Neodiprion lecontei: one gene and its partner. The protein of the gene in region 2 purifies or fractionates together with the protein of the main gene of each other region. This does not show direct contact. Links are inferred from orthologs where the notes say so. Each region holds a gene or a part of one and is shown on either strand. Other genes may lie near its edges.

Region 1 (10,716 bases), on a different chromosome or scaffold from region 2:
CAATATCTGAAAGTTATTTCCAAGCATTATGGAAAGAATACTCTCAACGCATCCTCCTCAAAGTAGCCTTATCGTTTTATCATGAGTTTAATTTCTCAATTATCGCTTCACTCAGCTGACAAATTTTATCATCCAGTTCCTATCGATAACATATGATACAATCTACCCTATTTATCTTTGGCTTTGCAAGTGCCTGAACTTGTATATAGCCTTACGCAATATGTTTGAGCAGCTGAAGAGTTTGTAGATGGCTCATTTAGCACACCGCTATATTAATATATTTTTTTACTTCATTCTGCAGCTTCGGATAAAAAGAAACCAGAATGTCTTCTGAGGGTGGAGGAACTGACACAGAAGCACGTAGCATTTCATTCTGTAGACATAACAAACAGAAAGGAATTGACTAGCATATTTCAACAGGTGAGTATCGAGTTATTCGCCATATTATTTACCACGATGTTTATAACAAACTATGAAGTTATTTTATTTTCTAGTATAAATTTGACAATGTGATACACTTTGCCGCTTTAAAGGCCGTTGGCGAGTCTGTTGCCAAGCCGCTTGAGTATTATAGAGTCAATGTTAGCGGTACTATAGTATTACTCGAGGTAATGCGAGAACACGGAGTCTATCGAATGATTTATTCAAGCAGCGCCACTGTTTATGGTCTTCCTGATAAACTACCATTAACCGAAGACATGAAAACTGGGGATTGCACCAATCCGTATGGAAAGTCTAAGTTTATGGTGGAGGAAATACTGAAGGACCTATGCGTTTCGGACAAGGTATACTTTTATGCTTGGTAGAAGAAATATTCGAGAATCTTTTAGTAATCACTTCATATTCACCTGGAAAAATATTCTAGAACTAGTCATTGAACACACACTGACTTCATCTAGGTTTGGTCCATCACATCCCTCAGATATTTTAACCCTGTGGGAGCTCATCCATCTGGAAATATTGGAGAGGATCCAAACGGCATACCGAACAACTTGATGCCCTACATCGCCCAAGTCGCTGTTGGAAAAAGAGAAAAGCTCTCAGTCTATGGAAGTGATTACAATACCCCTGACGGAACTGGTAATAATGAAGTCCGAGCCAGATAATGTCGTTCGATTTTTTCTACTTTTCTTCAACGGGGAATTTCTTCTTGTTCTCTTCTGTTGTGTGAAAAATTCTATAGTCACTTGAATATTACCAGGCTTTATCTTTCTACAAGTGTGAAATCTGCAAAATTTTTCATTTACAGGGGTTCGCGATTACATTCATGTAATTGATCTGGCAGTTGGCCACTTGCAGGCGATTTCCCACCAGCATCCCTCCGGCTTCCAGGTTTATAATCTCGGTACTGGAAGAGGGTATTCTGTTCTGGAAGTAATCAGAGCGTTCAAAGATGCTTCTGGCAAAGACATACCCTATGATATTGTAGATCGTAGACCAGGCGACATTGCGACAAGTTATGCCGATGCAAGCCGTGCTAATGCAGAACTGGACTGGCACGCAACACGGAATATTGATGACATGTGTAAGTTAGACTAGACTTTTCTAAATTAAAACACTTTATTGAGTGTCTTTTGATAAAAAATATCATTGATTACAGGCAAGGACACATGGAGATGGCAGCAGAAAAACCCGGATGGATATAAGAACGTGTCGTCCCCATTTTGCCCAGACGCCTGTTCTATAAAATCTAAATGAACAAATTAAATCTATAGATTAATAATTCCACCTAGACGGTGAACCTGCCACATCAGGTGAAATCGAAAATTGGATTGGATAATTTTACATCAGTTACATATATCTATGTGCCAGTGAACTGGAATGGATTTAGAATTTATTTATAATTAATAGGGTATAGAAAAGTGTATAAGTTGGGGATATCGTACTAAAATATAGCTTAAAATTACCAAAGACAAGACAGTGAGCTTAATAGTTTATCTAATTACGATTAAATCGATACGCACATTGTAATGTGTAATTTTAGAAGATGATAAATCAAAACTCAAACCCAGCTGACTTTACCGATAAAATTTTGAGCACCTCAGTAATGATACTGTGTACTTGTAAATTGGGAGGATTGAGGAGAAAAGATTCGATATTCAGAGTAGAACGATGACGTTTTTTTTTCTCGATATTGGTAAATTGTATCCTATACCTTCAACTTGAACAGAATTAACTCTGATGTACCATAAAGCTTGAACATTGTTTCATGACCTAAGTGACTAAGTTTGCTGTACGAGATTGCCTTGTATTGTAGGTGCAATATCGAATTCTACCAATTTCTGGGTTCTAGATAGTTTTTTAAATTATTATTATTATTATTATTACTATTATTGTTCTTGTTGTTAATAGTTGTAAAATATCTGTTGAAATATATCATAAATTAGTCATTTTAAGAAGGCAACAATGAAAGATACACATGTGTTCAAGAACATTAGTTCATATCAAACAATTCCCAGTTCTGTGTGTATTTTATTTCTAAAGACATCAATTAAATTTGTGAATTATAAGTTTATAATGTGCCATTATTGTTAAATAGTTGCAAAACCTAGCAAGATATCGTGTACACTGAGAAGTTCGAATAAATCATTTGAGAAAATTCATCTGCTTCAGTCTCCCATGTTTCAAAATTTGCGATGGCTTTAGATCATGGAAACGTATTCAGACTACGGATGCAGTGAAAGGAAGGTATAAACAGTATTTTCAAAAGTTATACAACTTACTCATGCTGCATTGTGACAATCAGCCCAGCCTCAACATCTGTGTCTCACAATATTTTTGTAACACGCGATGACGAACAAAATTTTCTACCTCTTGCTGTTCAATCCGTACGAGTGCATAATTGTGACACTCTCATTTGACCAGCGTATACTATGAATTAGTGAATATTTACACTCACAATTACTTTTCTAGTCGTGAAGAATTGCCATACGAGTTACTTAGATCAGTATATTCTTGATATCTCACTGTGACGTATGTTTTTTCCATTGTTATCGAAATAAATCTAAACTTACTGTTAGACATGAATAATAAATGAACCGTTTGTGACCCGCTTCTCGCTATTACCTCTAGTCAAAGTTTCGAACATGTAAATCGAAAGCGGAAGCATTGGGTAATCGTTGTATAGAATGAAGCATACTGGGCAGGCCTTCGATGATATGTCATGTCCGTTCGGAGGGTAAGGTGGGCAAAGTGTGAGTCGGTAAGTCTACTAATTTACGAGCACGGTTACGAGCATGCCGCCTGGGATTTGGTCGAAAGGTTCTCTATTCTTTTTCAACACATGAAATGGAAGAAGACAAGATATTTACGTGGTTATGTCAGTTAAACGTATCGGCATTGCAAAATGCAAAGTGACCAGCTGTGTACAACAATTGGATTTACCACGAATGAAGTATTGCTTGATACATTTTTGCCTCTTTGATTGTGATCACGGTCTTATAGACAGGTCTGGGCACTCCGGCTGTAAAACCGTGCTCGAAAATGACGCCGATGTTGTGAATTTTCGCCGCTAGCGCTAGTGAGGGAGAGGCCTACAGTACGCATACACTGGCCTCGGAGATTGCAGCGCTCCGGTCTTTGGTGCACAAATTGAGAAACACAGGCTTCAAGACGGTCACGCTGCGTTATATGGGAAGGGGCTTGGAGTGCCCAGACCTGTCTATAAGACCGTGATTGTGATCAAATATGCCGACATGGCCGCTACCATTAAAAATGTTACCCTTCATCCAAGTCTTTCACCAGAGGGTCTCTAATGATTTTCACTTATTGTTGCAAGAAACGAAATAATGCAACTAGTATGGATCAGTTCATTTTGAAGTAAATAAATGGGGGCGTTCAATGCTCCGTATGACCAGCTGTTGATGAATTGTTCAGCGCCGTTTGTTATTGTTGTCGCTCCGTCTGTCGTCTGCTGCATGAACGATTTCAGCGGTATGACAGATAAAGATGGACGTTGTATTTGGAATTCCTTGAGTTTTATTCTTTTAACCGTATCTCCACATCCAGTTTAAGGAACGACTGGAGTACTTGCCGTCCGGGACAAGTTTAATAGTATCCTGTGACATACCATCAAACATGCCTCCGAAGTTCAAGCGTAATGTGCCGCGTGACGACGTTGCCAAAGCCGACGACGTGGAGAAGGTGTGTTTGTTTTTTGTATGATTAATCTTAAGCCGTGAGTCATTAGCAACCGTCTAATGTTTACACGGTTCAAGACAGTCAAAAAGCTCAGAATTATTATTAGATGATGTCAGAATCTAATCCTTCTTTTGTTTATTTCCTTAGGAGACCCTCCTTGATCATGACAGCGATCCAGATGAAGAGATGCTTTTCAAGTATGCTTGAACGATCAATTATCCATACCATAGACATATGATCCATATTGTGAACTTACTTTTTTATCGCTGTTCATAATATGAGACTAAATTTCAATTCATCTGAGAAATTTTTTTGTTTATCGTTCCAGCCGCCCGAGTACTTCGACCAGTCAGCCATACAGAGATCGTAAAATGGACAGGTGGTGTTCATTTAATCATGATTTTTCTCTACCTCAGATTTTTCAAATGAACTGTTTTAAAATTACAATAATCGTGGAATAAAATGAGATAGAATTAGTTATCGAAGAGTTAGATTTGTTTCTGGCCTATTGCAAATTGTCATGCTCTCTGATAATCCAGAATAATACCGAAATCCAGATTAGAGTTACTGTTTATAATTGTATTCAATGAATTTTAATAATTTGTTTATTTTAGTGTTCGTATGCAGATAAAGGAAGTAACAGACGTGATGCGTGAAAATGTGCAAAAAGTGATGGAGCGAGGAGAAAAAATGGAAGACTTAGAAGTGGCCAGCGAACGGCTGACTATGGCTGGAAACGAGTTTCACGACTCGGCAAAGAAGGCACACCGCAGGGCTTGGATGCAGAACATGAAGATGAGAATCATTGTCGGCGCCATTATTCTGACAATAGTTATGAGTATTATTGGTGAGTAAACCTTGACTCGCTTTGACTCACCCTTGGTAACACGGCGTCACCAGCTTTTGCTGCAAGCTTCAGCAGGTGTGGCTTATTGAATTTTTTCGTGTAAGCAACTTTTCTGCCAAATGATGTCTAACTTTTCAATCTGAACAGCAAATGTTCCAATTCTAAGTTTTGAAATTTTATACATTCAATAATTTGAGAATTTTTTTAGTCACCATTACTGTCATTCTCTTACATTTTATATTTCACCACTTTTACATATTCATCTTTCCAGGAATCACTGTCACAATATTTTAATAACTGATAAGATGCATTTCATACCTTTATTGATTCTGTACATGGTATAAAAGGAAACCTAAGGCTTCTATGAAAAAGATATCGACAATTATGTTCATACTTTTAGCTGTTTGTCCGTTACTTTCTTGTACGCATTACGTACACGTTTATGAAATTTAATGAAATTTCCATGCATTACCAATATTCCTGGTGAAAAGTTAGTTTATAAAAAAAATCTCTCGGTCAGCACACATCAGTTCCTCAATCTGTTTTCTACATCTCCTTTGACCTCGCATTTGAAACTGTTCTAAAAGAAATATCTCGTTACCACTTCGTTTTAACGATACCCATCAATAATCTATATCTACATACTTTCATTCTGTTTATAACTTCCGCATTTATGTATATTGACCGATGGTTAATTAATTTATGATAATTACAATGCGATTGTAACCGATTCTCAATTGAAAAGCTTGTCACAGGTCTACTTCTGATGACAAAATCTTTCACCGAAGATTTATACGTATATAGGTGTTTGAGTTTTTTTCTTCGTTTCTTTTTTTCATTGATTTAACGAGAACTAGCCTCTAATGCCGCGCTGATGGTTCGGCCTGTATAATTTTCAGTTCTGGACATCTTGGTGCTTTACCTAGTCATCAGATAGTTAATTGGACTGGTGAAACAGCCTGTGTAGGAACCAAGGTATTGAGATCTGAGATATTGAATATTTCTATCGCTTATCGCCAGTGGTGTGAAATTACGTAATTATAATACCTGCACTACTGTATATAGATCACGCTACCAGATCCAATTTCCGCGAGTTAAAAACCTCGACTGCACTTGCAATGCCATGGAGCGTAATCACGCAACGCGGCATTGAAACCATTCGTTCCTGTTTCTGTAGATATTTTGTTGTCCAACATATCAATTATTGCTATAGACGGAAAGCCACTGATCTGATTGAGGTAGAGACTACAACATTTTATGGTCGCCAAAAAATTGTTGAGAAGGTCTAGCGGTCATAAATTATCATTTAAACACGCTGCGTTTTTAGAAGTTTTTAGAAGAATTACGCAAGTAATAATTCTAGGATGGGATTGGCCATTCTACTTGAAATACGATTCATAAGGATATAAATTTCTAACGTAACTACGATCATTTAGAAAAAATAAATTTCGATCATGTTATCAAATTTTGTGATAATGAATGCGAAGCAAATTATACCCTATATGCGCCTTTTTTCTTTACACTGGCAGACTGAATTTCTACCGGATTTATCCGTACACTTCAGTACAAAATATATTTCTAGGTGCGTTGATTGAGCTTTCATTTCATTGAATAAATTTAAAAATTTCAAATTCCAGACACCGCTCCACCGCTTTACGATGAAAAAAAGGATATCATTTTTCGTGTTCCAGGTACTTTGATCAGATGGTATTCCTGACGTCATGCGACTGCCTTCCAATACGTATCATAATTTCAGTTTAAATAATTGTAATATATTTTGTGATAACGAACTTTACTCCGTGAATTAGCATGTAGCCAAAATAAATGTTATTCTTGTAACTATGTATAAATAAACGACGTATCTCTACATACGTATAATTATGTTCGAAATTCCACGAGCTACCAACCTACCTACCTATTTGTCTGATACTTCTTCTACCCAATAGCAACTATATGGGGCTGTTTAATAATTCATTTTGTCCGTTCAAAGTTTAGCCTGTTTCAAAACTCTCTGCGAAGTTTCTTCGTTTTACCTTCAAGCAAATTTCATGGGGGCTAAAGTAAAGATATGTTTGCGAATAGAATTTAAAATTGCACCGCGAAAAATGATGCACTCTGACAGTGAAATTTGCAAAACACTTTGTCTTCAACGATTTCCTCCAAATGAGTTTCTGTAATTATGAATTTTGATTGGCGATTTGCTTGTTTTATTTAAAACGAGGAATCTGTTAAAAATCGCTGAATACGATAATTCACGACACTTGACTATAAATCTGTCTTTCATATAAGTTCAAAAGTTGATTAGCAGACAAACGGGCGCATTGGAAAAATCTAACGTGAATTAAAAATTTTCTGTTTAACAAGTCCAGTTTCTTGCTTATTTGGTAGAGTATAATTTCCACTTTGCCTTGATTAGATTATCATAATCGTGCGTACATGTATAATATGTATGAGAACGTTTTTTCCAGGATTAATTTGCATCGTACGCGTACTTGGAATATAATGTTTAAAAATGATTGAAATTCCGAGTGAAAGTAGAACGAGTAGATCCAGGAATATGTCAATTAGCCGAAGGCACATGTATGCTTTGTACCGTTCATTTACATGCATTGGAAGTGTTGGTTCCATTCGTTTCGTCTTCAACTCGCTGGACATGTGACTACCACGCAAATAAGGCCACAGGCCTTTACTGTCACCTAAATTATTTACAATGTTAATAATATATCAATAGCATCAAACCACTGCTAAGCCTCGATTTCGTACCTATATGAAATTGACGGATCTACGAACGCTGGTTACGAACTTAATCACTGATTCCTAAGTGCTTAAGACGTTTGGGTGAATTACTTCTGATAATTATAAGAGGCTTTGACAATCCCTCAATTATTCAACGGTATAATTCTACGCAAGAAGTGAGTAGGTCGTTCTCTGACCTAAAAACTGATTGAATATACGCAAGATTGTCAATTCATGACCAGCATATTATTTGTCCGTAAGATCGTAACTTTGTAACTTTTAAACGATTATTCCAGAATGTGGCGCCAAACTGGTGACAAAGTTACAGACCATTTTACCGCCGCGTTCGAGTGTCTTAATGGGTTATCCCTTTTTTTCGTATCGTCGAATTTATTGTCCAACACTGCATAGTGATTATCGCTGAATCACAATACTGTTAGAGAAATCGCGAGGCATATACAGTGCGTCATTACAACCGTTGCGGCCACTATGTGTGTTTATTTTGACGCAGTTTTATTGCAGGAATTCAAATTATACACAAGTATTTCATCAAATACTTTTTTCATCGATTGTCAGAAACTCCCTTTGTAAAAATACTTTGTCTAGACGGTCATGGGCTACGTTCACATGTATCCTCATCGTCTGTACTTCTTTTCCACTCGCCATGATTTCACTCAATTTATTTCTGTCTACGTTCAATGGTGCTAGTAGAGTTAGCAATCTGAACGCCTCTCTAGTTTGAAAAAAGCAAATGAATGCAATGATGCAACGGAGAATCAAATGAGCTTATGGGCGTGTCGCATTTCAGTGAGGGAAATTCATGTCAATGGAAACCGCACTTAATAATATTGAGCTATTAGACGACTGATTACTGGAAAAATTTGCGACAACCTGATTACAATATTTCGGAAAATAAAGTTATTTTTCCAATTTGCTACGATAGCCGATATATATATATATATCGCTATATATATATATATATATATATATATATATACATATAACGTAAAAGGTATAGTTGAGGTATTTTTGTCGTATCATCAAGATTCAAATTTAAAATACGTGATAGTGATTCAGCCTGAAAAGACCTGAGAATTACGCGATTTGTCTAAATATAATATAGAATAAACAGATAACGAAACGAGGATAACTATATACACACCGAGGAAAAGAAACGAAGAACGCTTAGGTATTAGGCAGAAGAATTTGTAATTAAAAAGAATTTTTTTTCCACCCTCGGATGAACGTGAAAGATTGCAAATTCGGCAGCGTAAAATTATCCGCTGGTTGTATATCCGATGTCAGCTTGTTATTGGCCGCGGAGTAAGTAATACATAGTTATACGTACCTACATACTTACAAAGTAGTCCCTGTGTATGTGCCGCGTGCATGCAGCGCGTCAGAGTGTAAGGATGAAGATAGGTGTACGTGTTACCCCGGCTCCGTTTGACAGCAGAAAATTGTCATATGAACGGCAATTGGCGTTCGTTCGTTCGTTCGCTCTTAGCGTTGGTGCAGGCAGCTTGTGTACGTATGTGGTCACGTGCACACGAATTCCTGGTTGAATGAGGGGCTATACGTGCAGGCAGGGAGCTTACGATCAGTTATCGTCGTGTTGTCGTCGCGGAGCGGAGTAGCTCAATGACAAAAGGACTGCTCGCGTAGTGATTCGTCGTTTAGTCGCAATTGTGCCGTTCTTTCCGACGCGTCGTTATTCCCTTAAAAAGTACTCGTCTCCCTCTGTTTCGTCCGCGGGAGTGATTTTGGCCCGCGCGCCACCTCGCGATTTTTTTCTCAATATTAATTGCGCTCCACGCAGGTGCGATCTTGAGTTTTTTCCCTGGGACCGGGCCGACCGGAACCTCCTTCACAATGACGGAGCTTAATAAGCTTCTGTTATCCGTCGGGGCCGTGCTACTCGGAGGTTTCCTATTCACCGGAAATCGACGAAGAATGCTTTATATACTCTACAAAACTCTACCAAGGGATATTCTGTGAGTTTATGAATGTTAACACAAACCTCTTGACACTCGAGTCTTCTTGCGTACTCTATACCATATATATATATATATATATATATATGTATACATACTACATATATATATAGTATTATTATATGCGCCCGCCTCGACGCATCCGCGACGCTGGAATTTCGTGTGGCAGCCGTGGGGCATAATGTTATATTACACTCCAATGCAGAAATTTTATGCTTTCTTAATGTGTACGGGCCTCGGAGTTGCAACCTTGGTATTATAGGTACGTGAGTGTACTAACTTGGGTGAATATCAGTTACCGATAATAAATTATTATAGTCTACTTTAACTAACGAATAGCTGTTCGTACGTTCCGAAATTGAAAAAATTTGAAACCGTAAAGCAGCCCACGCGTATCTTGCACCGGCCTAGTTATATTTTTATCATTAGACCATTGTAGAAAATTGCTTAAACATCGGAGAAAATAAAAGCATTGATGAAGAAGCTGGAAGAGTATGAATATAAGGATGTGCTTCGGAGTACAATCAGACAATTCGAATCTATCCGTTTAGCAGACAAGCAAACAGAGTAGCATTAACTTCTGCTTTTCCGTTCGCCAGTATATTTCATCTTGAATTAGACACAAATGACTGCGCTGCTGCTGCTCTCAAGAATGGGGCTTGCAAGAGGATGAAACCGAGTTACCTAATAGCGACTCATTCGTCCCGCGAAGAGAAAGAAAATACAATTTGATTCCGACTTGGGTTCCACAATGTAACACGTGTTCAGCAGCGGGAAGATAAAAAGCATCAGTCACAGCGTTTCCTTTTCGCCGAATAAATTTAGTACCGGCACATTATTCGCCTGGAACATCATTTGACTTGACATAGTTTCATACTTCATTCGCGCTTGGATAATTCTAATGATAAATGCAGAGTTGAGGAGCTGCAGCGGCTTTCGGCGATGGCGACAGCGATGAATGAGAAGCGAAACGAAGTACCTAGCGTATGTACACGGTAC
Region 2 (12,507 bases):
ACAACTTTTATGACCGCGAAAATCAACTTGACTAACGTGCGACGCGACGTCGCGCGGATATTCTAAACAGATTACTTTCGTTTTCGCTCGTCTCACTTTCTAATCTCGCCGGGCTGAATACACATTCGCACACGTACATTACAAACATACGCGCGTCGTTCGAATGATTTCGTTTTTCACCTTGTTTTGCTCTGTTTCTTTCTCGTCTTGTCGCGTATATGTTTAAAACGTAACCGTTGCTGGCGTTCCAGGGTATTCAATGAATTCTATGAACATTTTCAACTGCGTTCACATTAATAATTTCATATGAAGCAAAAAATAAAATGTCCGGAATAAATTTCGAGGTATTTTTCGAAAACAACTCTCCACTGTAATCCCATATGAACATTAGAGATATGACTCATCATTCACCCCGCGAAACCTTGGAGAAATGGACTATAAAATACAAAATGCAAATTCCAGGATCACGAAGAATTTTACGGGAATAAGCAAATTATTTTACAAATACGTATAGATGATGCTAAAGTTGTCAAATCTAATGTCTCCTAAATATTGTATATTATACAGTCTACGACACGGATGAATGAAAAGTGATAAAGATAAGGAGAGAATATATTTACAATTTGAAATGGATTAGGAAACAGGTAGAGAATAATTTACGCTTCAGAAGTAAACTTCAGTCAAGTAAAGAGAATAAAAAATATATATTTTTTGTGAGCCTTATTTCACTAAACGCCCATATTTAAGACACACGCTATTTCATTAGCATTATGAATTCTGTAAGAAATTTTGTATGTACAATTGTATTGGTGGAAACAATGATGCATTGAGAATTATCTCAGCATTCTTGGTGCAATGAGATATTATTATGATTTGTACATGTGATTGATATGATTTGATCATTTACCACCTTGTTGAGCCTCTGACAATAAAGCACGTGATATAATCATTCTTTGAATTTGAGCTGTACCTTCGTATATTTGATAAATCTTAGCGTCTCTCATTAGTTTCTCTACAGGGTATTCAGTGTTGAAACCACAGCCGCCAAATATCTGTAAAGAATCACACGTTGATACTTGGTGATTATACCTATTGGTGATTAAACACTAAGTAGTTTCAAATCAAACGTAAAAAACTGAATTCTACGTTCAACTTGCCATTTTGTACTTATGGATATGAATAAAAACTTTTTACGCAATGCTTATCGAATATACAATTGCAATTCTGGACTTGTGACAAACCTGTACTGCATCTGTGGCGCACTTATTAGCCACGTCTGCGGCATAACATTTAGCAATACTGGCTAGAAAGGTGTTCCTTTGGCCGTTATCGACAGCCCAAGCAGCTTTCATCCAAGCTAGCCGAGCTGTTTCGATTCCAATCGCCATATCAGCCAACAGGAAAGCTACTGCCTGATGTTCGGCAATGGGTTTGCCGAAAGTTTTTCGTTCCAGAGCATACTTGGTAGCTTCGTCCAGTGCTCTTTGCGCCAGTCCAACTGCACCAGACGCAACCTTGCAACGATGAAATAGTTTTCAAAGAATATGAAATTCCACGACAGAATTCTATTGAAGGAAAAAAAATAAACAGTTACCGGAGGACGAGTTTTGTCAAAAGCTCCCATTGCAATCTTGAAACCTTGACCCTCACCGAGCAAGACATTCTCCTGTGGGACACGTACATCTTCAAATGTGATCATGCGGGTATCAGATGCTCTTTGCCCCATATTCATTTCCTGAAAGTTTTATCCCTGAAAGTTACTTTTCTAACCGTGGGGTAACAAGTAAGTCATCCGATCATTAAACTTACTTTACGTCCAGGAGTTAGACCCGGTGTATCCCGCTCGACGATGAAACCAGTAAATGCCTTACTAGTCGGTGCTTTAGGGTCTGGATTAGTGCGAGCCAGAACAAAGTACCTATGAAAATGGAAAAATTGAATAGGATTAGAGTTCTTTTAATTTTGTATTATTAGTAATAAACTTCACATTAAATCAAAAATGCCGTTATAAACAAAGTCATGGATTTTCAGGAATATCAACTCTCTTACCACCATTCCTTTTGTCACAATTCATTCTATTAATCTATTCATTCAATTATTTTAGGCTGAACTGAATTTCAAAGTGCTTAAAATTGTACTTGCTAGATTGTAAATACACGTAGTTAAATTTAAGGAGTAAATTTCTACCCTCAATATTACCAATTGGCAACACCGCCATTTGTTATCCACATTTTAGTGCCATTGATAACCCATTCATTTCCTTTTTTCTCTGCTCGAGTTTTAATGGCGCTTACGTCAGATCCAGCCCCAGGTTCGGTTACACAGTAGGCCTGCCATGAACGAATCATTATCAATTTATTCACTTACTATCATAGCCTGAAGAGTTCAAGTTATATCTTGGAACTCGTGGAATATGGCAATTGCCGACCCTTACAAAAAGTAAATTCTTCAATCACACAGATTTCCAGCAAATTTCTCGCGATATCTACACGCGTTCAAAGGTTATTCACAAGTCTCAGTACCTTTGATCCACTCTGTATGAAATGTGTAGCACGAACCTTGGTATTCAAATTGTGATGTGATTGAAAAAACAACCGAATTAAGAGATGAAAACATTTTTCATTAATGAGTTTCTTATGTTGAGTATTAAAACACTAGTAAATTAGTATATACTATGCATAGAAGAATGACACACTCTGGTTCTTGAATAGAAGGGTAACTTACCGCTAGAAGTGGTTCGTCAATGAGTCTTCCCAAGTATTTCTTTTGTTGTTCTTTAGTTCCAGCAATAATCACAGGCATTTGCTATGAAATCAATTTTAACACATATTTAGGAAATACGGAATGTACTTTAAAACAGCAACAACAAGCGCAATAATTTTAATGTGACTAAGCAAAGGTTGTGCTTCAGTAAACTGATATACAGATGAACCTCATTACCAGATTTAAGGACATAATAGATGGTGCATAGACATTCTCAATTAAGCTGCAGCAATTTCTTACACAAAACAGAAGAGACAGAGAGCATTTATTTTCTTTCCCTACTTCGGATCCTCATATGCAAAAACTATTAAAATTAGAAGATGAAAATACTATAGAGTGAAATTTTGGCAATAAAGTTTAAAAAATATAAATTTGCTCATTCAAGACTGCACTGTAATTTACTGTGGAAACCAGTATGAGAGTATTGTTGATCGTGGTGAAAGGATGTTAATGTTTAGAATTAATTCATAAGTTAGTCAACAGACAAAAAAATTAGTTTTCGATCGCGAGCAGAATGAACTTACGCCGAGACCTGATCCCTCCATTGCAGTCTTTATCCCTGTACAGCCATAGGCAAGCTCTTCCGCCACCATGCAACCGTCAAAAATACCACATTCTAATCCTCCTGGAATGTACCAAAAGCCATTTAATGTATCACATGTCATGGCTATTTTGGCATATCGCACGATTTTCGTTTCAATCTCGAAACTTCTCGTTATTGGGTAATGTTTTTTCCCTAATATATCTATTGGACCCACATGTCAATAAGTAATTCATAAAATATTTGATATCGCTTCGATGCTCCCATACAAGCCTCCAAATGTAAAGTAGAACAATACGTAATTACTAAGTAAGATAACCCACCAAGAAATCAACACTGATATTAATGATACGATGAATGACGTCCAACTCCCTTCGGCATGAATCCATATATCAGCTCAAGAACAATGAATTGCGATGGAATGTTACATTCACAAATGCCACTTACTCCTAATTTTGTGGATCCAATGCCACTAGCAATACCAGAGCATCCGTATGCAAGTTCCTCTCCAATCATACAAGAATCAAACGTATTCATTCCAATACCACCTGAATGTCAAATTAGTACTGTATACAATGTTACAACATTGTTCCATCTATTGCTATGCAATGAGCAACAAGTACTATGCTCATAATTTCCTATCGATAGTATTCTGTTTGTTTTGTTAACATAAGAATTCATAACATTGAAACATAAGATTCATTCAGTAATAGTGCGTAATAATAAAATGACTGAGGACATAAAAGTATAGTCGCCATGATAATGTGATGGACTGAACGTCACGGAAAGCCTGCAGAACTGTCGTGAGTATTAATTAACACTTTGTAGAAAATAACTATGTCAACTTATATAATTTGGTAACAATCGGAAATCCACAAAAAGCTGAAAGAGGATGAACTAACGAGCCTGGATGAAACGAGCTGACTGCTCCATAAGCTTGGATCAAATTTTTAAGAATTCTTTTTCATCTCCGGCAGGAACTTACTCCTAAGTCTGTGGATCCAAGACCACCAGCTATACCGGAACATCCGTATGTGAATTCCTCACCAACCAGACACGTCTCAAAAATACCTATTCCCATTCCTCCTGAAGATTCAATTGTAATTGAAAGTGACCGTATTAATTTGGCTTTGAGAGAGAGCAAATTGGTTGTATAATTGTACGATTCCATGTTGATTCCTCATTCCCAATTAAAAATTGAGTATGAAGTAGATACTTCTTTTGATCTTCTGTTTTATTTGACTGTGGTAAACTATCAGCAATTATTATTATATAATGGACAATTTCGTATAGTTGTAAAAACGATTCATTGCGGTATTTTGGCATATGTTAGGATACAGCACAGGAATTGATGTTGAGAAATGCCGTTTAATTGTAGTCTGGATGAATATTTTGCAAAAAAAAAAAAAGGAATGCAGATATTTAAACGAACACAAGTTTTAGAATTCGAAAAGAAATTTAACTTTCGTTATACCACATACAAAAAAACTTGTATCTGATCTTGAACAAGTGTGTGAATTCTCACATTTAAAATAAAATTTTCAACCATCCATGGTAAACCAACATCAAAATATACTTAATCTTCTGATACATTATCAAACATATGGTTCAAATATCTTGACCTTGTTATTGTTCAAATATTATTGTTTTAGCATGACAAATCATTGATTAACAGATATCTTGCAGAGCGATCATGTACCACTATTCTGATTAGATAAATATTACTGCAAAACAGATTGGGGCACGTTTGATTATCAGAGATATAAAATAATCGCACATCACTATGGGTTAAAGTTCAAAACAAACTTACCATCCTAATTATTTCAATTTGGAATTAGCAGTTGTTCAAAAGGTTCAAGATTCAATATATTAAATGGTTGAAACGCTGAACGTTTATCTGAATGGAAATAATAATGGGATTATACTATGCCAGATATATTGGAAAAACTTTGAACTGTGTACAAACAGTATTTGTCAGAATCGATACGAATCGATAGATTTGTTATCAAATTTGTAGAGAAATTGGTTGAAAAAACTTGTGTGGTATATGTTGCTTCAATTGTCATTCATTTGGATGCCCCCAGCTTCAAATACACGAAATATCATATCATCGGAAGAAAATTCTTAGCCAAGGATATTTTGAACATACCGCAATGCTGTGGAATGTGTCCGTTCATGAGTCCCAGACCCCAGGCTTTCTTGACAATTTCCCATGGGAATTTTCCAGTTCTATCGTGCTCCGCAGCTACAGGAATTATTTCTTCTCTTGTGAACTTCCTGGCAAGTTCCTGCATTTCTCGCTGCGTCTCAGAAAGCTCTGAACAAAAAATATAACAACATTGCTTCGGCACTAATTCTGTACTCAGAGTTTAAGTAATCAGAACAGTTTTATTTTCTTCGTAGAAAGTAAAGCATATGCAGCTTGACATTTTTCCCATTGGATTACTCATGATACTAAACTGTTAAAATATAATGTAATTAATGTCAAAATTTAATACTAACGGAAATTGTAGCCATTTGGTACTGCAGCTTGAGAAGAAAAAGACCTGACTGCTGCTTGTCTCACTGACCTACTAATCACCTGCAATTAGACGAACAAATGAAGGAAAATAGTTTGGAATATCTGATGACGATGCAATTATCCCTACTAATATTTTAAACCGTGCGTACAGTCTTGAATATTAGTGAAAGCACACAACGTTCGACGGGGAAATTATACCTGGCTCAAAGACATCCTGAACATAAACGAGTCGATCGACGTTGGAGAAACGATTGAGGTGAGAGTCCAGCTACAACAGTTCAAAAGTTTTGAAACTCGAATGGACTTTAACCCAGAGATAAATACAATCAGCGGACAACGGTGATGGCCTACAATGACCAGTTTTCCATCTGGAGCTAAATACGTATGTAAACTGGTATAACCCAGTATAACCAGAATTGGATTGGAGCAATCTCTTGTATCAAGGCTGTCATTGGTTAATTCATTTGAACTTGGCCGGATTTAGCACTAGATGGCAACGCAGTTGATAACCAAGTATCACATTTGGCAAGAGCATCCAATATACCGCTAAGCGGTGAAAAGCGCGCCTTTTAAAAGTAGAATGCTTGTACTTAATGCGGAGCAATAAGTGCCTTGGAATAAGTGAATGAGATGTAGTGAAATACAAGTAAAAATGAAGTAATTTCTACGGAAACATGTCAAAATAACTTTTATATCTGATGCATGAAAGTCTAAGCTGTCTATCCAATTGTCCGTTTAACGCATCGGGGAGTTTTTAGAGCTGGCAGCTGATTTCAGAACGCACCCTTAGCTACGTCGATTTGTAGAGCTTACAAACACGCGGTATATTTGAGAACTCGCGTTTCGGCCAATCGAAACTCGCGGCTTGTGGCTTGAGCTGGGTCGAGCATCGATCGTACACTGCCATCTAGAAGATCTTTGTAAGGGGTAAACGTCAAAATCGAATAAATAGTCGTCTGCAGTGGCAGACGTCATAATACACGACAGATGAGTAGAGTGGGGTGCGAGCAAGTGTCAATTTGATTATTGTTGTCGGTTTGATATAACAGTGCGGATTACAGTCTGTTATTTACTACCGATGATTGAGAAATTACGCTTAAAAATTTTTGCGGGTGCCACGGGGAGGCGAGAAGGGCCACCCTTTTAATTTCGGGGAAGGAATGACGCTGGAAGACCCCTTCTTTGTCGTCAAGGAGTAAGTTCACAAAATGGGGCTGACGTTATCAATATTTTCTTTGTTTTCTATACTTCTTTTATTCACACTTCAGCTCAAATACGCTGTTGCATCTGATATACTGTCAAATCACCTGGTTTACTTTTTTCTAAACAACAGGCAAAATTGTCATTCATCATTTACTATGTTTGTCAATACACGCGTTTCATGTGTGAGAATCTATTTAAATATCTCGGAATAAATTGCAGCACACGTTTTAAATTTTCGTAAACCGATATGTAAAATTACAAAAATTATTTTTGTCGTTTCTTCGTGTTCAAAATGTATCTTAGCATTATATTTCGCTAATGTTGTTAAAAAATAGCTGCGCTGCTTCTTGACAAAAAACGAATAATCATTATCAATTGTCTTCGTTAATATTGAATAAGGTCGTATAGTGTATACTCTGTGGATTTGCAACAATTTAGATTCGTATTATTCTTACTATTATCGTCATTTACAATCCCACAACTTATACCCTGCACTTAATTATTAAACATATTAATCGAAAATTCATATGTTCACAATATTTGAAACGAGAAATAGATCAAGAGTATCAACTGTGAAAAATTTTGTAAATATATTGAATAAATGTCAACAATGTTTCGTATTCGAATTCGAACCGAAACACAGTAAAATATTTTAATTGGTTTCCTTAATAGATACACGGGTTGTAACCGATGTAAATAAATAATTTCAAATGAAGCAAATTTATGGAAGAATCAGAAAGTTACATGGCTACGATCTGGTTGAACAATTTAAATAATTTTTATGTAGTTAAATTTTGTAAGGATGTAAAACAAAAAGTTGTCGTTTAGCGAGGTGTGCAAGGCTCTAAATAAAACACGAGCATTATACGGGCGTTGGACAGAGTTACAAGATGGGTCGAATGCAACAACAACTCCAACTGTAGTCGGAGGACTTCCGGTTTCGCGTGAAGAACTTGAGTGGACGACCACGGAATTGCGGAACGCTCTCAGGTCCATCGAGTGGGATTTAGAAGATTTAGAGGATACGATCTATATCCTTTTACTATTCTATGCTTTAACCTCGTGAAATTGTGTGTCAATAATAAAAAAAAAATAAGCAACAACTTTATGTATATTAATTTTCACGGTTTATTGTCGACGAAAATTCTTAAACGTCAGATGAAGCTTTATTAGATGTTTATTAGCGTTCACCGTCATGCCTGTAAAGTGCAATTCAGCACAAAAAAAAAAAAAACTTGTCTGTCATAATTTTTGCGTAATCGACAATAACGCGCCGAAAATTGTATTGATATTGAAAATCAAGTAAGTTGAACCATAAATTAATTATTGGAAATATTTTACAATATTTTTGCTCTTGTGATAACCTTACAGGGAAGTCGGGAATAGGCTAAGTTGAGAATAAACGTTTGTCTTTACTGGTACTATTTCCTTCACAATATTCTGCACGTTGACAACATGTTTATACCGTTCAAAGCTTAGCAAATATGTAAGCCTTAACTTCACACATACGTATCGTAGAAAAGAATCCAAACAAATTTAAAATCGATAATAAGGAATTAACCATCCGAAGAAACTTCATAGAACAGACTCGTGAGATGGTTAAGGTGAGGTTGTGCAGTTAAGGACTAACGTTTTTCTAAAATTTCCATTACCAACATTACATGACTCATCCTTCCATACTTCCAATGCACAATTGAGAGCCTCGTTCATTTTTTTAGATTATGAAAGAAAAAATGAATGTAAGCAGAGGACGAGACCGTGATCATACCGCGAGACAGGTCAGTATTCTTAACTGAAAACAAAGTATTGAATGCAAAAAGAAATTATTCGTTGATTTGTTAAGATTGTGCAATGAATGAATCCATAAAACTAGGAAGAAAAGTTGTTTATACCTGATTTTTACAGCCCCTGCTGGACAACAGTCCAGCTAGAGTTCCCGTCACTCATGGAACAACAAAGTACAGTAAGCTGGAAAATGAAATGGACAGTCCTAACCGGCAGTTCCTTGCGGACACGCTACAGCAGCAAAGCACAATGATGCATCAACAAGACGAGCAACTAGATATGATTGGAGAAAGTATTGGTACCCTGAAAACCGTCTCTCGTCAGATAAATACAGAGTTAGACGAACAAGCTGTGTAGGTCTGACACTGTATTTAAAAAAAAACAAATTCAATAAGAAGTTGATATTTGATGCTAGTATGACAGTTCACAAGTAGCAAAGTTTCCTTAATGAAATATTTAATTTTTTAAATACTTCCAGAATGCTAGATGACTTTGGAAATGAGCTGGAAGTAACAGACTCAAAATTGGATGCGACAATGAAGAAAATGGCAAAGGTCCTTCACATGAGCAATGGTAACTATAACAATTACATTCCTGCTCCCACCACCTCATCGTCTACAGCATCCGACCTTATTTCTAAGCCTTCCTCTTTATCCTCTTTATCTAGTACCTTAACAAACTGTTTCTTGTGTTCCGCGGAATAGGACATTGGTAATAGTGTTCTAGTCATGTAAACATAAGCTACCAATCCGTGTAATTCCTAATTCTCAAGTTGATGTTGGCTTGATTTAACAAAAAATTTCAATTTAAACGAAACATTTTTTAACAAAGTTTGAAAATCAAATTATATTGTAATAACAGCAGCTTATGTTTACACAATTAATATACATTAACCAGTTCGGTCTGTGCAGTATCACTTTGCACAATTTTAATTTTTGTTTAGTGCATCGCAAGGTCAGAGAGAAAAATACGTGCAATTTAGCAAAATCCGATAACCTAAATCAATTGAGGGCTGAATGGATTAATGACATGACACTAAGAGTTTACAGTTTACAGCAGATTAGCCTGATTAAATGGTATTTTCCTCGTCTATAAAATAACACGATTCTTGGGGGTGAATATATGATTGAATACATTGAAATGAATGCATGTATTCCATTTACATGGCATAGTCTTACTCAAACGAAACACTTTGGTGCACATGGGCTACCAATTTCGACAGTATCCGGAATTTCGTTCTTAGCCACCTTTCAAGAAAGTAACTCAGATTTATATCTCCTATCTCTTGATGTGGGAATGTATAACACTGGGTAAGTTATAAATTCAAATCTAGTTTCCATGGCGAGTACTGTCAAAATCAGTCACCATGCATCCAACAAAAAGTGTCCTGTTGCAGCAAAACTATTCCACATGTGTGTAAAAAAAAGTCCTTTACCTAATATGTGCTTTAGACAATAATGTACCATCTATTTGAACAAGAAATGGTAAAGAAAAATTATAATGTAACTTTTCAAGAGTTTCAGCTAGTCAAAACTATGACGGTAGGTATTTTAAATACTATCATCCCAAAAGTTGTGTCAATATAATTACCTATTAGACATGTGGTATGTACATAGTTACCACTGTTAAAGGTCAGAGAAATATTGAACGGGATGTACACATGAGTTTTCATTTAGTAAGAGTAAAATTATACGTAGAGGAATCAGCAAATGGCATCAAATTTGCATAATGAAATAATGTCATTCCTATACCTAGTCTAACAAGACCTGAAGTTACAAAAATTTGTATACATATAGCATAGTGTTACGTGAGGTATTAAAATCATGTTGTTGACAACTACTATGATTATAATACATATGTTATGAAACTGTTGTAGAACTGATCGAAGCGTTGATTCAGAATTTATAGAACCGTAGAATCTCAGCTGATCATTCTGTTGTTGCGACTTCGGAAAATGTACTTGTATACCTAGGTGAACAGATAAAACGTTGATAGTCTCTGGGAAGCGGATGTTAACTATTGTAAATGATGTTTTTGAAAGAAATTAGACATTCAATCCAAATATTCGTATTTGTTGAGAGATTTTAGAAAACTGTAATCAGTGGTCATTGTGACAAACTGAAAAGTAATTCATCTTAATCGAACACCAAATGATTACATACCACACTGAGTTGTATTGTACCCCAGACTACATATTCTAGTAAATTAAAACTTCCTTAAAAGTTGCAAAATATAAATTGAACACGTTTGCAGCTAATTTAAAGAAATGAAGACGATGCTGTTCTGAAATATAATCCTGACAAAATCAACATTGTTAACTAGGCTCATTTTCAAACGCATATCAGTTTTAGATTTTATCAGTTACCATTTTTGAATAGTTAGATTTCTGCCAAAAACAACTTCTATAATATGGAATTTAGAGATGCTTGCAAATAATGAATGTTCAAAGGAATGTAAGAAGAAAATCTACACGCTAACTCTAACCATTATGGTATATATATACTGTACTGCTTGGCAGTGGTTTAATTTTTTGATAAGTTTTGATTACACCTTTTAAGTTTAAAAACACATGAGTCCCCAAAATGTTGTTGAATATTTAAACAATTTGAAAGATTTGATATTACAAAAATAATAATAAACTTCAATGTTAAGGTCTTCTTCTGATTGTTGGTATTAAAGTTTAAACTAGGGTAAGACTTATTTGTGTTTCAAATTGTTACATATTGTCTCTCACAAAATCAACAAAATAAAAAATGTAATTTTATAAGTGGCGCATGTGATGTTACTTTCCGTTTGTTTTAGATCGGAGACAATGGGTAGCCATTGGCGTCTTGACTGCGATATTGGTACTACTAATTATTTTGTTTATAATTAAGTGAATAACTTATTTCATTTTACAGACTGTTCATCAATTATAGTGATTAATTTTCTTACTAGAATTTAAATGTAATCCAGTGTACACGTATACATATTACATACATATATGTATATGTGTATTATATATATATGTATATTAACTTTTGTTAAACAGCATATTTATTTACCAGAGTACCGTTTTACCGAAGATAAATAAAAAGATATTTACGTTGTTGTTAGAAACAAAGTGCCATATACCATACATATAATGTTAACTCGTCCTTTGTAAAATGGAAGAAAAATCAATATCTCGTAAAATAAAGGTAGTCACCTTGAATTTTGACAAAAAATATTTTTTCTTTTCTTCTTAGTTGTAAAAATTATCAATTCCTGTTAATTTTTTGACATCATAAAGCTGTTACTTATTTCAATTTCGCGTTTCAATTATTCTCATAAAAAACAAATCTCATACGAGGCCATACAAAAATTATGAATCATTGTAATTATTTTTTTAGTCTTATCAGAGTACAATGATTTTATAATTGTTTATTATTTTATATGCTACATTTTGTTCTAAACTATAAACTTCGTACAAATGTTTTTTGTTTTTTATTTATAATTTTATATAAGTAAAAAGTTTAAAGAGTAAAGTATTAAGTATTATGAATTGCCAAAAAACACCGGTAATCAAAGTTTCTAAAGTTGGCTGAAGTACCAGTCATTAATTTAGATTACCAGTTGTTCTTTCTTACTTTGTCGGTTCAAGGAGAGCTGAAACAGCCAACTTGACTGCACATCCATTGACAGATGATCCATACACAATGTTACAATGATTGAT

The links.
Region 1: the proteins of syntaxin-6 (region 2) and vesicle-associated membrane protein 4 purify together in Homo sapiens (co-immunoprecipitation; 5 studies listed by BioGRID and IntAct, counting the BioPlex papers as one, with this or other methods). This does not show direct contact. The link is inferred for Neodiprion lecontei from reciprocal best matches to the Homo sapiens genes STX6 and VAMP4.

The regions. Positions count from the first base shown.
Region 1 is NC_060262.1:41,728,850-41,739,565, reverse strand, and holds vesicle-associated membrane protein 4, read left to right. Parts: upstream 1-3,182; 5' UTR 3,183-3,202; intron 3,203-4,008; 5' UTR 4,009-4,077; coding exon 4,078-4,143; intron 4,144-4,287; coding exon 4,288-4,337; intron 4,338-4,468; coding exon 4,469-4,519; intron 4,520-4,754; coding exon 4,755-4,987; intron 4,988-6,624; coding exon 6,625-6,704; 3' UTR 6,705-6,877; downstream 6,878-10,716. Other genes in the region: UDP-glucose 4-epimerase, read left to right, coding at 302-420, 495-785, 900-1,080, 1,250-1,525, 1,601-1,698; long-chain fatty acid transport protein 4, read left to right, coding at 9,596-9,717. UniProt on the Homo sapiens protein: Involved in the pathway that functions to remove an inhibitor (probably synaptotagmin-4) of calcium-triggered exocytosis during the maturation of secretory granules.
Region 2 is NC_060261.1:7,228,669-7,241,175, forward strand, and holds syntaxin-6, read left to right. Parts: upstream 1-6,737; 5' UTR 6,738-6,985; coding exon 6,986-7,020; intron 7,021-7,856; coding exon 7,857-8,059; intron 8,060-8,537; coding exon 8,538-8,632; intron 8,633-8,746; coding exon 8,747-8,806; intron 8,807-8,933; coding exon 8,934-9,166; intron 9,167-9,291; coding exon 9,292-9,386; coding exon of another isoform or gene 9,387-9,517; exon of another isoform or gene 9,518-9,756; coding exon 9,757-9,908; 3' UTR 9,909-11,615; coding exon of another isoform or gene 11,616-11,692; 3' UTR 11,693-12,006; downstream 12,007-12,507. Other genes in the region: probable medium-chain specific acyl-CoA dehydrogenase, mitochondrial, read right to left, coding at 900-1,052, 1,242-1,514, 1,595-1,735, 1,810-1,918, 2,200-2,330, 2,725-2,805, 3,288-3,388, 5,454-5,621 and 2 more. UniProt on the Homo sapiens protein: SNARE promoting movement of transport vesicles to target membranes. Targets endosomes to the trans-Golgi network, and may therefore function in retrograde trafficking.